Linked DNA regions of Stegostoma tigrinum. The protein of the gene in region 2 interacts with the protein of the main gene of each other region in a pairwise test. Links are inferred from orthologs where the notes say so. Each region holds a gene or a part of one and is shown on either strand. Other genes may lie near its edges.

Region 1 (8,027 bases), on a different chromosome or scaffold from region 2:
GATAGATCCCTAAGCCCAACATACTAACGTCCTTTAGGGAAGGAAACTACCATCCTTACCTGGTCTGGCCTACATGAGACTCCAGACCCACACAATGTGGTTGACTCTTACCTGCCCTCTGGACAATCAGGGATGGGCAATAAATGCTGCCTGGCTAGTATCACATTCATCCCCTTAATGAATAAAGAAAGAAAAACAGTAAACTGTAAACCCTAGAAAACATGGTCAATCCGAGCTCTGACCTGGATTCAACGCAGTGATTTGGGGAACTGTCCTATAGATTTAACTTGTGTTAAAAGGTGAAAGTTTTTTTTGGCTATGATCCTAGGCGAGGCATGAATATTTTCTGTGGAATATCTTCACATTGCTAAATTGGGTGGATTGGTTGGGAGGGTCTGGGGTGTAGTCAGGGTGTTGAATTCTGTTTTGGGTGAAAATTGGGCAGCTGTGAATGTTTTGTAAAACCTGGTTGATCAGGAGATGAGTGCGGGTGGGAAGTGCAATTTTTAGGCAGACTGGAAGAACACAGAAAGAGCAGCATTCACATTCAAAACATGATCATGCCAATTTGAACAGTTCCCCTTTCAGGATCACTAGCCACAAAATGACATGACCCACTATCACGAGTACCCTTACATACAGATGAGGAAGGACACCACTTTGATTGGGACAACACATCCATCCTAGGACAAGCCAAACAGAGACATGCATGAGAATTCCTAGCAGCATGGCATTCCAACCGGAACTCCATCAACAAACACATTGGCTCCAAATCAATCTACCACCCTCTGAGAAAAAGAACAGGAAATGACATCACCAACCCAAGGAAACCTAAACAGATAAATAGAAAGCAGGACATAACACCAGCGCTTGGTCAGAGGCTCACTGATAATGTTACCTAGAATGGTGACAAAACATCTGAAAACTAACCTTCCAGCTCAGCGAGCAAACTCACATCCAGAATCTCAACCCGAGCTACAAATCTTCTCAAAACTCGCTACTAGTTATTTCAGTCCACACTCAACACTCAGCAATGCTTGAACTTTAATGAGTAATGTAGAGCACCAAGTGAAATATTGAAATAAGCATCAATAAATGTGGAGCTGGAAAAGCACAGCAGGTCAGACAGCATCCAAGGAAAAGGAAAGTCGATGTTTCGGTCCAAAATCCTATGGATGCTGTCTGACCTGCTGTGCTTTACCTTTAATCATTCACAGGATGAGGGCATCAATGGTGAGGCAGCATTTACTGCCCATCCCTTAGAGGGCAGTTAAAAGTCAACCCTATTGCCGTGGGTCTGGAGTAACATGTAGGCGAGACGAGGTAAGGATGGCAGTTTCCTTCCCTAAAAGGACATTAGTGAACCAGATGGGGTTTTTCCAGCAATCAACAATGGGGTCATGGTCATCATAGATTCTTAATTCCAGATATTTTTATTGTATTCAAATTCCACCATCTGCTGTGGCAGCATTTGAACCTGGGTTCCCAGAATGTTATCTGGATTAACAGTCCAACGATAACACCACTAGGCCACTGACCCTCCCATTTACCAGCTCCACATTTATTGATTCCAGCTTTCAGCATCTATAGTCCCTACTGTCTCTAAGTTATTGAAATAAGTCTCCTGTCTATTTGGTTGGAGAGCTTCCTGTTTGTTTTATATGTTCAAAACAAAACCAAGAACCAAAGAGATATTTTTTCCCAATGTAGATAACTCTCCACCTCCTCTTTGCACTCTGGTCATTCTGCATCACTAACTACTTGCATTTGGTGTCAAAGCGAGTTCTTAAGTCACGAGATCACACACCAATTGCAATTCCAATGTAAGTCTGCTGGACTCAGAGATTTCAGGCCATCTCAGTAAAAATTGGCCAATAATGATTGAACAAAATAAATACTAGGGTTAACAGAATAAATATAAGATCTGCCAGGATTATGGATGGTGTTTGCATATTGTGCTTCCATTGATTTTTCTATGAAAACCATAAATTGTTGGATAAACCACAATTGGAGCACTGCATGCAGTTCTGGTCACCACATGTGATTGTGGAAGGATGTGATTGCACTAGTGAGGGTGCAGAGGAGACTTAGTAGGATGCTGTCTGGGTTAGAGGGTCTAAGCTATGGGGAATGATTGGATGAATTGGAGTTGAGAGGAGATCAGACAGATGAGTACAAGATTATGCAAGGCATAGACAAGCCAGATAGCAAGGCATTTTTTCCCCCATTAGTAAAGGGGTCAATAAGTGGTAAAATGCTAAGTGGAGACTCAAAGAGAAATCTTTTCACAGGAGCAGATAGTGGGTGTTTCTAACTTGCAAATTGAAAGGGTGGTTGAATCAGAAACTCAACATTGAAGCAGTATTTAGGTATTGACTTGCATTGCCATAACTTCCAGGGCTATGGGCCAAGAATTGGAAAATGGGATTAGTATAGTCAGATCTTTGTTGACCAGTACAAAGATGACGGGCCAAATGGCCTCATTCTGTGGGGGAAACATCTATGCGTAATCTTGATAGGGTTGTTTAGCAGGACCTCTTATAATAAAAAAATATAAATTTTCAAAGGGGTGTCTTTCCCAGAGAAAGGAAGTGCATGGTAAACATTTTCTTTTCAGTTTGATGCTCACAATGCACTGATATGAATCCAATCAAAACACCACTGTAATAAGAATGACGCAGTGGTTCTGGTTTTCATCCCAACCCCTAGTTGAAGTCAAGGTTTCCTTGAACACTTTTATCCAAGTTCTACATGCATTGTTTGGATGAGACACTAAACTGAGACTCCAGCTGCCCCCTCAGGTAGATGTACCCAGCTCCCACTGCACCATGTTGAAGAAAAGCTGGGTAATGCTCTGAAAAGGCCTGGTCAATATTTCTTCCCCAGTCAAGATGAATGGGGGAAAGAAAAATATTTGCTCTGGGGCATAGACTTGACTACAGCATTGCTCACAATCACTGAGCTCTGTGATGTCCTCGTGTTAGGAGAGGGCTGCATAGCTGAACATTTTCTTCAAACTCAATCCCACTTCATTTAGATATAAATGCTGTGAGGAAGATACTAAATCCAGTTCTAAAACACACAGACATGTTCTTGTGGAACATTCCCCTTATCAAGGTTTTAAGTAAAACGTTCAATTTAAAATAACTGGACAATGAAGGAAGCTTCGGCCAGACAGGACGATTTCAACTGACGAGATTTTCTGCTTCAGTGTTAGCAAGGGACTCTGCAGATAACTTATCCCCGGTTGCATTGTTTAAACAAGCGGATCAGAGATGAGGTGACCTTTAACTCTCAACGCTGGTCCCCAGACAACACGTGAAAGCAGTAAAACATTTGTGGAAGAAACTGCAATTTCCGTTCAATTATCAGGCTGCAAAGTCAGAAACAAGGCAACACTGCGGTCTCAGATAACAAAATGTGGAGCTGGATGAACACAGCAGGCCAAGCAGCATCTCAGGAGCACAAAAGCTGACGTTTCGGGATGAAGGGTCTAAGCACGAAACGTCAGCTTTTGTGCTCCTGAGATGCTGCTTGGCCCGCTGTGTTCATCCAGCCTCACACTTTATTATCTTGGATTCTCTAGCACTGCGGTTTCAGTGAGGAGACCAGTCTGCTGAGAGTTTGGACTGACAGAGAGGAGTGGGGCTGGTTAGGCATTTCACCCGGAGTACCTTCGCCACGGGGCACTCTGCTCGAACATACTCGTTACCGTGTACAGTAATTAGAAACGCAGCGCGCCTACGATACTCTTCACAGCCTTCACCAACACTCCAGGTGAAAAGAGTTTTCTTGACGCCACTCGATTAAAAATTGCACAAAGCCCAACGCGTTCACAATGTTTCCGATCTACTGTTGGACCAGCTTCCTAATCCAATTAAAACAATTGCTGACAATCAGGCAAATACTCCGCGTTTCGCCGAAGGTGGAGTTAATCACCTACCTACCCACAGAGCACAGTGTTCTGCACGGGACAGAGCTGAGCACCTTCTGAATGAGTTGCCTCTGTTTGCCTGGATGGTTGTATCCTGTCTGATCAGGAGAGCCTGGGATCTGTATGCGTGAGAGAGAGAGAGAGAGAGAGGTCAGACTGCAGTGTTGAGAGTCTGAACCATTTCCCAGCAGTGCCAGACCTTAGCTCAGCTCACGAAATAGCCTTCAGCGCAGAAAGATAACACAATCCAATTTTATGGCCGATCAACAGGTAAAACTCGAACGGATGGTGACTAGTTGTAAGTGGTAGCTTATGAACTTTTCACTGTGCTCATTTGAGTACATGTGACAATAAAGCCAATTCAATCATTTATAGAACATTACAGCACAGTACAGGCCCTTCGGCCCTCGATGTTGTGCCGACCTGTCATACCGATCTCAAGCCCATCTAACCTACACTATTCCATGTACGTCCATATGCTTATCCAATGATGACTTAAATGTACCTAAAGTTGGCGAATCTACTACCGTTGCAGGAAAAGCCTTCCATTCCCTTACTATTCTGAGTAAAGAAACTACCTCTGACATCTGTCCTATATCTTTCACCCCTCAATTTAAAGCTATGCCCCCTCGTGCTCACCATCACCATCCGAGGAAAAAGGCTCTCCCTATCCACCCTATCTAACCCTCTGATTATTTTATATGTTTCAATTAAGTCACCTCTCAACCTTCTCCTCTCTAATGAAAACAGCCTCAAGTCCCTCAGCCTTTCCTCATAAGACCTTCCCTCCATACCAGGCAACATCCTAGTAAATCTCCTCTGCACCCTTTCCAAAGCTTCCACATCCTTCTTATAATGCGGTGACCAGAACTGTACACAATACTCCAAGTGCGGCCACACCAGAGTTTTGTACAGCTGCAGCATAACCTCTTGGTTCCAGAACTCAATCCCTCTATTAATAAAAGCTAAAACACTGTATGCCTTCTTAACAGCCCTGTCAACCTGGGTGGCAACTTTCAAGGATCTGTGTACATGGACACAGATCTCTCTGCTCATCTACACTACCAAGAATCTTACCATTAGTCCAGTACTTTGCCTTCCGGTTACTTCTACCAAAGTGCATCACCTCACACTTGTCTGCATTAAACTCCATTTGCCACCTCTCAGCCCAGCTCTGCAGCTTATCTATGTCTCTGCAACCTACAGCATCCTTCGTCACTATCCACAACTCCACCGACCTTAGTGTCGTCTGCAAATTTACTAACCCATCCTTCTACACAGTCATCCAGGTCATCTATAAAAATGACAAACAGCAGTGGACCCAACACCGACCCTTGTGGTACACCACTAGTAACTGGACTCCAGGATGAACATTTCCCATCAACTACCACCCTCTGTCTTCTTTCAGCAAGCCAATTTCCGATCCAAACTGCTATATCTCCCACAATTCCATTCCTCCGGATTTTGTACAATAGCCTATTGTGGGGAACCTTATCAAACGCCTTGCTGAAATCCATATATACCACATCAACCGGTTTACTCTCATCTACCTGTTTGGTCACCTTCTCAAAGAACTCAATAAGGTTTGCGAGGCACGACCTTCCCTTCACAAAACCGTGCTGACTATCCCAATCAATTTATTCTTTTCTAGATGATATAAATCCTATCCCTTATAACCTTTTCCAACACTTTACCAACAACTGAGGTAAGGCTGACTGGTCTATAATTACCAGGGTTGTCTCTACTCTCCTTCTTGAACAGGGGAACCACATTTGCTATCCTCCAGTCATCTGGCACTATCCCTGTAGACAATGAGCTGAGCTAAAGATCAATGCCAAAGGCTCGGCGATCTCCTTCCTAGCTTCCCAGAGGATCCGAGGATAAATCCCATCCGGCCCAGGGGACTTATCTATCTTCACCTTCTGAAGGATTTCTAATACCTCTTCCGTGTAAACTTCAATCCCAGCTAGTCTAGTAGCCTGTATCTCAGTATTCTCCTCGACAACATTGTCGTTTTCTAGAGTGAATACTGTTGAAAAGTATTCATTTAGCGCTTCCCCTATCTTATCTGACTCCACACACAACTTACCACTACTATCCTTGATTGGGCCTAATCTTGCTTTCGTCATTCTTTTATTCCTTAAATACCTATAGAAAGCCTTAGGGTTTAACCCCGATCCTATCCGCCAACAACTTCTCATGTCTCCTCCTGGCTCTTCTGAGCTCTCTCTTTAGGTCTTTCCGGGCTACCTCGTAGCCCTCAAGTGCCCTAACTGAGCCTTCGCATCTCATCCTAATATAAGCCTTCTTCTTCCTCTTGACCAGAGATTCCACGTCCTTCGTAAACCATGGCTCCCGCACTCTACAGCTTCCTCCCTGCCTGACAGGTACATATTTATCTAGGACACACGGGAGCTTTTCCTTGAATAAGCTCCACATTTCTAATGTGCCCATCCCCTGCAGTTTCCTTCCCCATCCTATGCTCCCTAAATCTTGCCTAATCTCATTGTAATTGCCTTTCCCCCAGCTATAACTCTTGCCCAGTGGTATACACCTATCCCTTTCCATCACTAAAGTAAACATAACAGAATTGTGATCACTATCACCAAAGTGCTCACCTACTTCCAAATCTAACACCTGGCTGGGCTCAGTACCCAGTACCAAATCTAATGTGGCTTCGCCCCTTGTTGGCCTATCTACATACTGTGTCAGGAAGCCCTCCTGCACACTCTGGACAAAAACTGACCCATCTATAGTACTGGAACTATAGTGTTCCCAGTCAATATCTGGAAAGTTGAAGTCCCCCATGACAACTACCCCATCTCTCTCACGCCTATCGAGAATCATCTTTGCTATCCTTTCCTCTATATCTCTGGAACTATTCGGAGGCCTATAGAAAACTCCCAACAGGGTGACCTCTCCTTTCCTGTTTCTAATCTCAGCCCATACTACCTCAGTTGACAAGTCCCCAAACATCCTTTCTGCAACTGTAATACAGTCCTTGACCAACAATGCCACACCTCTGCCCCTTTTACCATCTTCTCTGTTCTTACTGAAACATCTAAATCCCGGAACCTGCAACAACCATTCCTGTCCCTGCTCTATCCATGTCTCTGAAATGGCCACAACATTGAAGTCCCAGGTACTAATCCATGCTGCAAGTTCACCCACCTTATTCCGGATACTCCTGGCATTGAAGTAGACACACTTCAAACCAACTTCTTGCTTGCCGGTGCCATCTTGCTTCCCTGAATCTTTATTTCAGACCACCCTACTCTCAACCTTTTCTACAGTCGAACTACAATTTTGGTGCCCATCCCCCTACTGAATTAGTTTAAACCCACCGGAACAGCCTTAGCAAATTTCCCCCCCCCCCCAGGATATCGGTACTCCTCTGGTTCAGGTGAAGACCATCTTCCTTGTAGAGGTCCCACCTACCCCAGAAAGAGTCCCAATTATCCAAGAATCCAAAACCCTCCCTCCTGCACCATCCCTGTAGCTACGTGTTCAACCCCTCTCTCTCCCCTATTCCTCGCCTCACTAGCACGTGGCTCGGGCAACAAACCAGAGACAACAACTCTGTTCATCCTAGCTCTCAGCTTCCATCCTAGCTCCCTGAATTTCTGCCTTAAATCTCCGTCTCTCTTCCTACCTATGTCGTTGGTGCCAATGTGGACCACGACTTGGGGCTGCTCCCCCTCCCCCTTAGGGATCCCAAAAACACGATCAGAGACATCACGCACCCTGGCACCTGGGAGGCAACACACCAACTGTGAGTCTCTCTCGACCCCACAGAACCTCCTATCTTTGCCCCTAACTATGGAGTCCCCAATGACTAATGCTCTGCTCCTCTTCCCCCTTCCCTGCTGAGCAGCAGGGACAGACTCTGTGCCAGAGACCTGTGCCCCACTGCTTTCCCCTGGAAAGTCATCCCCCCCAACAGTATCCAAAATGGTATACTTATTGTTGAGGGGAATGGCCACAGGGGATCCCTGGCCTGCCTGCCGGTTCCCTTTCCGTCCCCTGACCATAACCCATCTGCCTTTTTCCTGTACGAGGAGTGACTACCTCCCTGTAACTCCTCTCAATAACC
Region 2 (8,027 bases):
GAAAGTGGATTAAAAGGGACAACACATTGGAGCAAGATGACTGAATAGGATGAAGGCCAACGTGGAAGATAAACACCTGAATGGACTGAGGGTTCAGTTCCAATTTTGAAAATTCATAGATTATCAAAGCATCCTAAAATAATTCAACTGTAATTAATCATTTGTGATTTTACGTATGCTTGTATTTTACTAACTTCTATTCACAGAATTTATTTTAAAACATAACCGTACTCTCTAGGAGGGACAATCTCCTTGCCCAATGTGTATTATGCCTGGCAGAGCAACAAGATCCCAGTCTCAGTGCTGAGCTGATCCATAAGACCATCAGGTGCCTTTTCCACCTCCTCCAGCAAGATGCCACCACCAGACACATATTCCCCTCCCCTCCCTGGTCCGCCTCTGCAGGGACCATTTCCTCTGGGACGTCCTGGTCCACATTTCTTTCACCCCCAATCCTCCCCTCAGCCCTACGGCACATTCCCCTGTAACCGGTGAAGGTGCAACACCTGCCCATTTACCTCCTCCCTCCCCAGTATCCACGGTCCAAACATACCTTTCAGGTGAAGTAACACTTCACCTGCACTTCCCAGAATTTATTCGCTGCTCACAATGTGGTCTCCTCTATATTGGGGAAAACAAAGCATAGACTGAATGACCGCTTCGCAGACCATCTACATTCTGCTCGCAAAAGAGACCCTGAACTACCTGTTGCCTGTCACTTTAATATACTATTATGTTCCCTGTTCAACATGTCTGTCTCTGGCTTGCTACAGTGTTCTAGCAAAGCTCAATGCAAGCTGGAAAAACAACACACAATAAAAACCAAAATAACTGCAGATACTGTAAATCAGGAACAAAAACAAAGTTGCTGGAAAAGCTCAGCAGGTCTGGCAGCATCTGTAAAGGAAAAACAGAGTTAACGTTTTGGGTCCAGTGAGTCTTCCTCAGAACTGGAACTTTCCTCTGGAGAAACAACACCTCATTTTCCGCTTGGGCACCCTACAGCCTTCCAGACTCAAAATCGAGTTCAATCATATTAGGGCCTAAACTCTCCCATGTCCCAGCCCCCCACCCAACACACCAGGCCTTGTTACCACATAGCCTGCCATTACACACCACCTGTCGTTAGTAACTAACAGTCCCCCTTAACAACTATTCACCTTCCCAGCCAGATTCTTATCAACTCGTTTGTCTGTCCAACTGTTCTTCTCTCTCTTTAGGCTCTATCCTATCATTTACTCTCTACCCCACCCACCTCCCTATTTTCTGCATATAAACGGACATTTCCCAGCCACCATCAGTTCTGAGGAAGGGTCACTGGACCCAAAACATTAACTCTGATTTATTTCTTCACAGTTACTGCCAGACCTACTGAGCTTTTATAGGAACTTTGTTTTTGTTCCTGATTTACAGCATCCGCAGTTTATTTGATTTTTATTCTGTGCTGAGTTTGCTGACTGTATCCCAGGAATCTACAATTGACTTGGTGTCCCAGGGGGAAAAAGCAACTTCCACTTATTATAGAGTCATACAGCATGGAAACAGACCCTTTGGTCGTCCATGCCCACAAGGTTTCCTAACCTGAACTAGTCCCTTTTGCCTGCATTTGGCCCATATCCCTCTAAACCTTTCCCAGCCATGTACCTGTACAAATGTCTTTCAAATGTTGTAATTTACCCACCTCTATGACTTCCACTTGCAGCGCATTCCAAATACATACCATACTCTGTGTGGAAAAAGTTGCCCCTCAGGTCCCTTTTAAATCTTGCCCCTCTCACCTTAAACCTATGATTTAGACTCCCCTACCCTGAGGAAAACACCTTGTCCATTCACCTTATCTATGCTTATTCACTTTATCTCCACCACTCTCCAAGGTCACCACTCAGTCTCCGACGCTCCAGGGAAAAATATCCCGGTTAAACCTAGCGCCTCCATCCTTGTAAATTTTTTTTTGCACCCTTTCCAGTTTAATGACATCCTTTCTGTATCAGGGCGACTGGAATTGGATGCAGTGTTCAAGTACCATGGACAATGGGACCAATTGAAAACTGAGATTGCTATATTTTACATTGAGGGCTTCCCCCAACTACAGACAACAGGGTGTGAGCAGAGGGAGGAAAAGTTGACAGAGAGGAAAGAAACAAACACTGAACGATCCTTCAGGCCAAAAGACAGATTCAGCGGCCAGTACTCAAATTCCACCTGTTGTCTGTCTATCAGCCCTGGGAACAAACTCATCCAGAGGTAAATCAGAGGAGATTGTAATCCTGGGCAACCCACCATCTTCTCACCTTCACCCTGATGAAGGCTTTCTAAATGAGTGGACAGCTCACAGAATCCCTACAGTGTGGAAACAGGCCCTTAGGCACAACAAGTCCACACCGACCCTCACAGCATCCCACCCAGACCCATTCCCCTATGACCTACCTAATCTACACATCCCTGAACACTATGGGCAATTTAGCATGGCCAATCCACCCTAACCTGCAAATCTTTGGACTGTGGGAGGAAACCCACGCAGACACAGGGAGAATGTGCGAACTCCACACAGACAGTTGCCCAAGGGTGGGATTGAACCCTGACGCTGTGAGGCAGCAGTGCCAGCCACTGAGCACCGGTATCACCATTAAGGAACTTGTTGTGCCATTATTTTCCCACAGTGGGCTCGCCAGGTTGGATTTTGAAGTATGTTCAAGGCTGAGACTGATTTTTAATCAATAAGGGGATCAAGGCTTATCAGGAAAAGGTCGGAGAGTGGAATTAAGGATTATCAGATCAGCCCATGATTCCATGGACTGGCAGCGCAGACTCGATGGTTTGAAAGGCCTTCTCCAGCTCCGATGTCTCATGGTCAACTGCCCCCCAGCTCAGATGCACTAAACATAGTCTTCAGTTTGCACACCTCTAAGTGGCCCTGAAATCTGAGCTTTTTGATGTCACGTGGTGGCTGGATTTTTCCGGGGCGGGGGGGGAAGAGAGAGACAAAATTGGGACTGGGAGAAAACGTGAGGGAGAGAGAACAGAGGAAGGGGAGGATTGGGATGGGGAGGAAGCGATAAGGCAAAAAAAGAGGGTTTGGCAGAAAAGGGGTGGGGAAGAGAGATAAAGATGAAAGGAATGTGCAGCTGCACATTGGGGGTTGCAGTTATTTTCTGCGCTTTAATCCACCTTCCACAAACTCCCTCCTGTCCCTCCCCCCACAACGCCAAAATAGCTGTCCCCTTCCCTTTGCATTAAAATGACTCATTGACAGGGTCGCTCAGTGCTGGTTGTCTCTCTGCTTGCGCTTGTTCGTCCTGCAGGTCTGGGCATCGCTGGTATTCACACCCTGTCTCGCCCTCCCATCCGTGAAGCGTCAGGGGCACAGCTCAGTGACACTTTGTGGTGTTGGTGTGAGCCTCGGACAGAACGCGGGTAAGGAGAGTCACTTTTCTCTTCCTTTAGAGGATATTTACAGAGACACCAGCCATCTGCATTTCCCAAACTGAATTTAATTCTGAGACTCATCGAGGCCCTGAGTTTACACAAATCGCTCCATTATCACGCCCACTCTTGCCCTCAGTGCAGATGAGCCGCTCTTCTTTGTAAAAAAAAATCATCTCACAGCCTGAAAGGAAAGGTTAACCCCGTGGTTGCTGTCGGAAGTGTAGATGGTCTGTGATTATCACAGGGAGTTGAAATGCAGATTAACTGGGGAGTAGCGTCCAGTCAATTCTTACCAAATGCAGTCAGCAGATGTGCTTGGAAATTGATTTTTTTAAATATAAAAAAACCTCTCGGGGATCTCGGTTCAAAGACTTTCCGCCATGAAACACGAGGTTTAGAAAGAACCACGTTCTCTCAGAAGCAGGAAGCACACACTTCCTGTACATAAACATGGCTTGTTGTAAACTGGACTGGGAGGTGAGTGAGGTTTTTTTTGGCCCTGGGTATCGATTTTTTTTGTCCTGTTTCCTGACCGCACTGGCAAACGCTGCAACGATTAGTACAGTCTAACAGACTGTGACGTGTTCACAGTTCAGTTGTTAGGATATAAAACAGTTAAGGCTGCCTTCCCTCAGAGAGCAGCACCCCTCAACTGGATTCGGGAACTCCAATCTTTATTAATCCATATGCTTGGTCTTCACATTGTAGGGCTGTCTGGAGTGGGGTTTGAACCCAGTAGCTTCTGATTCAGAGAGCGATCACAGGCAGTTGCACCACATGCACCTCCACTCTCCCCTACAGGGGGTGCTCCACCGGCCCCACCCTTGTCCTCCTGGGACTACATGAACTCATGGTCCTCTGTATTAAATGGGTGCTTCCCCCTCACACTACCCCCATTCAAAAAGAGTCACATCAGCTGTATTGTTCACCCTGCCCCTTAAATGGGCCACATTAGCCATCTCACCCTCTCCAGGGCCCTTTAAAGGGACTACATTCATATCCCACCTCTTACTAAATGTGGTATATCTGATTTTTTTTTTCCTCTGTATTCTATCCCATATAGGGGGCAGATTGACACCCTCTCTCTTCCCTTCACATCCAGGACTTTGCAATGCCATGTTCTTGGAACGCTGGGTCTTCCCAGTCATTGACCGGCCTGGGTTTTCTGATATCCGTTGTGTTTGAGAGACAGCACTGCCGACCCCAGCGGGTACTGAAACTCTGGATGAGTCTAGTACCATGCTGTGGTTTGTTCAGTTATTTGGCAACATACGGCAGTGCCCAGAAATAGGAATTTGGAAATATTGTTCCCTCCCACCTCAGAGGCTCGTGTTCCAGGGATTACTTGGCTGTGGGCAGTTCCTGCCTTTGGGGCAATCTTAGAATGATTTTATGAATAACCTTAAACCGTGTTCACATTGGCCCAGAGAATGAGAACGGAGTGGATGTCACTGAATGCCAAGGGAAATATCAGTCTCTCAAAGAATTCAAGAAAGACCACAAACAAATCTCTGAGGGATATTACAAGGAAACAGAACTCCAGTGAAATGTAATTGGAATTTCTTTCTTAGGCACAGATGATTGAGATAGAGATGTAGAATAAAGGCAGAGTAATTGGGATTAACAGAGAAACAGAGAGAGAGAGAGAGAAACAGAAAATTACAGACAGAAATAGAGACAGAGACACTTTAGGGAAGCACTAAATATGAAACACAGACGCTGAGAGTGAGAAAGGCAGTGTGTGTCTCGCATTAAACTGTATCTGGCTGAGTCTGTAAGCACGCTCTCACTGTCAGTGTGAGGTCAACATGTGAAGGGGTCACGCTGCAGTGTGTGTGATCCTCTTGTCCCTCTCAAACCTGGATCCTTCCTCTCAATCTGCCAAGTCACCCTGACCTCCCAGGGTGTTCGTGCTGAGTCACGCTCTCTCAGCTTCTTCCCTCTTGCTCAGGCTCCTCCCTGGCTTTTTAACCACTGATTTAATCAGGAAACACCCAGGAGAGTGTGCAGTTTGCTGGGAGTCTTTATCCTCACAGAGCTCATTCCCGTGTAAAACGGCTTTCTCCCTGGTGTCTGATCCAACAGGTAAGCTGGACGTTTGATTGCATAAAATTAGGCTGTCATTATCCTGTCTCCCCCGCAGTGTTTTTGCTTATTTTCATTCCTCAGCACAAAGGGCTCATTTATCACGTGTGCCTACGTTTGGCGGATGGTCTCACGTTGTCTTCTCTTGAGCCGAGTCACTGTAGAGACAGTGGGCGCTATATTAACACAGGTTCCAACATGTACCACACCACCTCCTCCCCCCCCCCCCCCCTAAACACCAATTCAGCCGTCTGCACCTCAACTGGAGCACCATACCCAAACTCAGCCAACTCGATGTAAACTCTTGTAGCTTGTGTTAGACGTACAGCCCCATTACTGGTTCTCCTGGCAACCAGGGATCTCCCAGCTCATTCCCTGCTGCTCTGTTGTGGCTCAGAAGGTATCCTGGTAAACAAAGTGCTGAGTTCCATTTTTCTTTTCCTCACTCTGTTTTACCTTTGATAACTGGTTGCTGCGCAGAGACATGTGGATGGAAGGAGTAGGTCAGTATTGGTCTCAACGCTGACTTCCTTCACTTCGCCATCCTTTACGAATGTTGTCTGGATGGAGTTAAAAGGAGTAATTTAACCTTACATCTTCAAACCCACCAATTTTCTGGTTGTTTACAATTCATCAGGCCTTCAATGAGTCTCCCCCACATGAGAGACAAGACACTGGTTAAGAACATAGAACAATACAGTACAGGAACAGGCCCTTTCGCCCACAATGCACAGACCTATTCTAAACTAATCCCATTTGCCTGCATATGGTTGGTATCCTTTTGTCCCTGCCTGCTCATGTTTATCTAAATGCCTTTTAAATGTTACTAATGTATCTGCTTCCGCCATCTCCCCAGTAGCGTATTCCAGGCACCTATCACCCTCCATGTTTTTAAAAAAAAAGGACTTTCTACGCATATCTCCTTTAACCTTTCCCCATCTCACCTTAAACCTGTTGTATTTCCATCCTGGCTCCCCACCCTAACCGTGCCCTTCATAATTTTATATACATCTATCAGGTCGCCCCGCAGCCTCCAATGCTCTCGTGAAAATAATCCAAAGCTTATCCAACCTCTCCTTGTGGTTGACTCACTCCGATCCAGGCAACATCCCAGTGAACATCATCTGCACCCTCTCCAAAGCCTCCACATCCTCATGATAATGTGGTGACCAGAACTGCACGTGATACTCCAAACATGCCCTGACTGAACTCTAAAGCAGTTGCAACATGACTTGCTAACTTTTATACTCATTGCCCTGATTGATGAAGAACAACATGCCTTCTTTACCACCTTATCCACTTGGTTTGTCACTTTTGCAACTTGCATCCCAAGATCCCTCTGTATATCGATGCTGCTCAGGGTCCTGCTATTTACTGTATCATTTCCTCTTGCACTTGACCTCCCAAATTACACCACCTCACACTTGTTTGGATTAAACTCCATCTGCCATTTCTCCACCCAACTTTCCATCTGATCCATTTCCTCTGCATCCTTTGATATCCTTCCTCGCTATCCATAACTCCACCAATTTTTGTGTCATTTCACTTGAAGTGGCAGTGTTTTCAGGGGAGTCTCCATTCTCTCGGCCACTTGGCTACAGATCCGAGACCAGAGGCTCTGCCTGCCAAAGACAGGTTCTACAGTTTAACACAGAGTGGAGCTGGAGGAACACAGCAGGTCAGACAACATCAACAGAGTAGGAGAGTAGGAAAGGATCGGAACCCTTCTGAACTGACGTGATCCGAAACGTCAGCATTTCCACTCCTTTGATGCTGCTGTGTTCCTCCAGCTCCACACTGAAAGACTCTGACTTCAGCATCTGCTGCTCTTGCTGTACCAGGTTCTACTGTTGTTGTCCACATTCCCATTGGTCAAGTCAATGGGCAGTGCTTATACCCTTTGCCTTTGAGCGTCTGTATCAGCGAGATCCCCCTCTCTCACCCCAATCCCTTCCATCGTACTCACTGGATCTCCCAGTTTCTCCAGGGCTCTCCTCCCACTGACTGCCTGCCCGTTTGTACAGAGGTCAGCCACCAGACAGACAGTCTGAATACTTCAGCCAGCCAATTCAGACGTGAACATATAAATAAGGAACAAGAGGAAGCCGCTAGGCCCATCAATCCCCCTCAATCGTTCAATAAGATGATACCAGATCTGATTTTAAACTCAATCCTGCATTCCTTATATCCCTGATAATTTATTATCCACTTGGTAATCAAGAATCTATCCACTCCTGTCTTTTAAGGTATGAAAGGTTTCACCAGCTTTTGAGGAAGTGAATTCTAAAGACTCTCAACTTCGGAAATCTAGTGAATTGTTTTGTGGACCGTAATAGACAGAATCCCTGATATTTGTGTCGACTTGTATCCATGACAATATGTCTTTTTACAGTCATTAACCTGACAAAAAGATACTGAGGGATATTCCTGGGGGTTGGAGCCGTAGAGACAGGTGGTATAGTCAATGGACGGCTATGTGACTGTGTTAACGTTACAAATAGCTGGACCAGTAATCC

Evidence for each region.
Region 1: the proteins of oxidative stress-induced growth inhibitor 1-like (region 2) and bcar3 interact in binary tests that used the Homo sapiens proteins (3 or more experiments, as listed by UniProt). The link is inferred for Stegostoma tigrinum from reciprocal best matches to the Homo sapiens genes OSGIN1 and BCAR3.

Annotation. Positions count from the first base shown.
Region 1 is NC_081361.1:85,036,195-85,044,221, reverse strand, and holds the start of bcar3 (breast cancer anti-estrogen resistance protein 3), read right to left. Parts: upstream 4,106-8,027; 5' UTR 3,944-4,105; intron 1-3,943. UniProt on the Homo sapiens protein: Acts as an adapter protein downstream of several growth factor receptors to promote cell proliferation, migration, and redistribution of actin fibers.
Region 2 is NC_081369.1:3,055,060-3,063,086, forward strand, and holds the start of oxidative stress-induced growth inhibitor 1-like, read left to right. Parts: upstream 1-3,289; 5' UTR 3,290-3,414; intron 3,415-5,389; exon of another isoform or gene 5,390-5,511; intron 5,512-8,027. UniProt on the Homo sapiens protein: Monooxygenase catalytic activity. Involved in regulation of cytokinesis; promotes RHOA activity, probably acting locally at the midbody in late cytokinesis.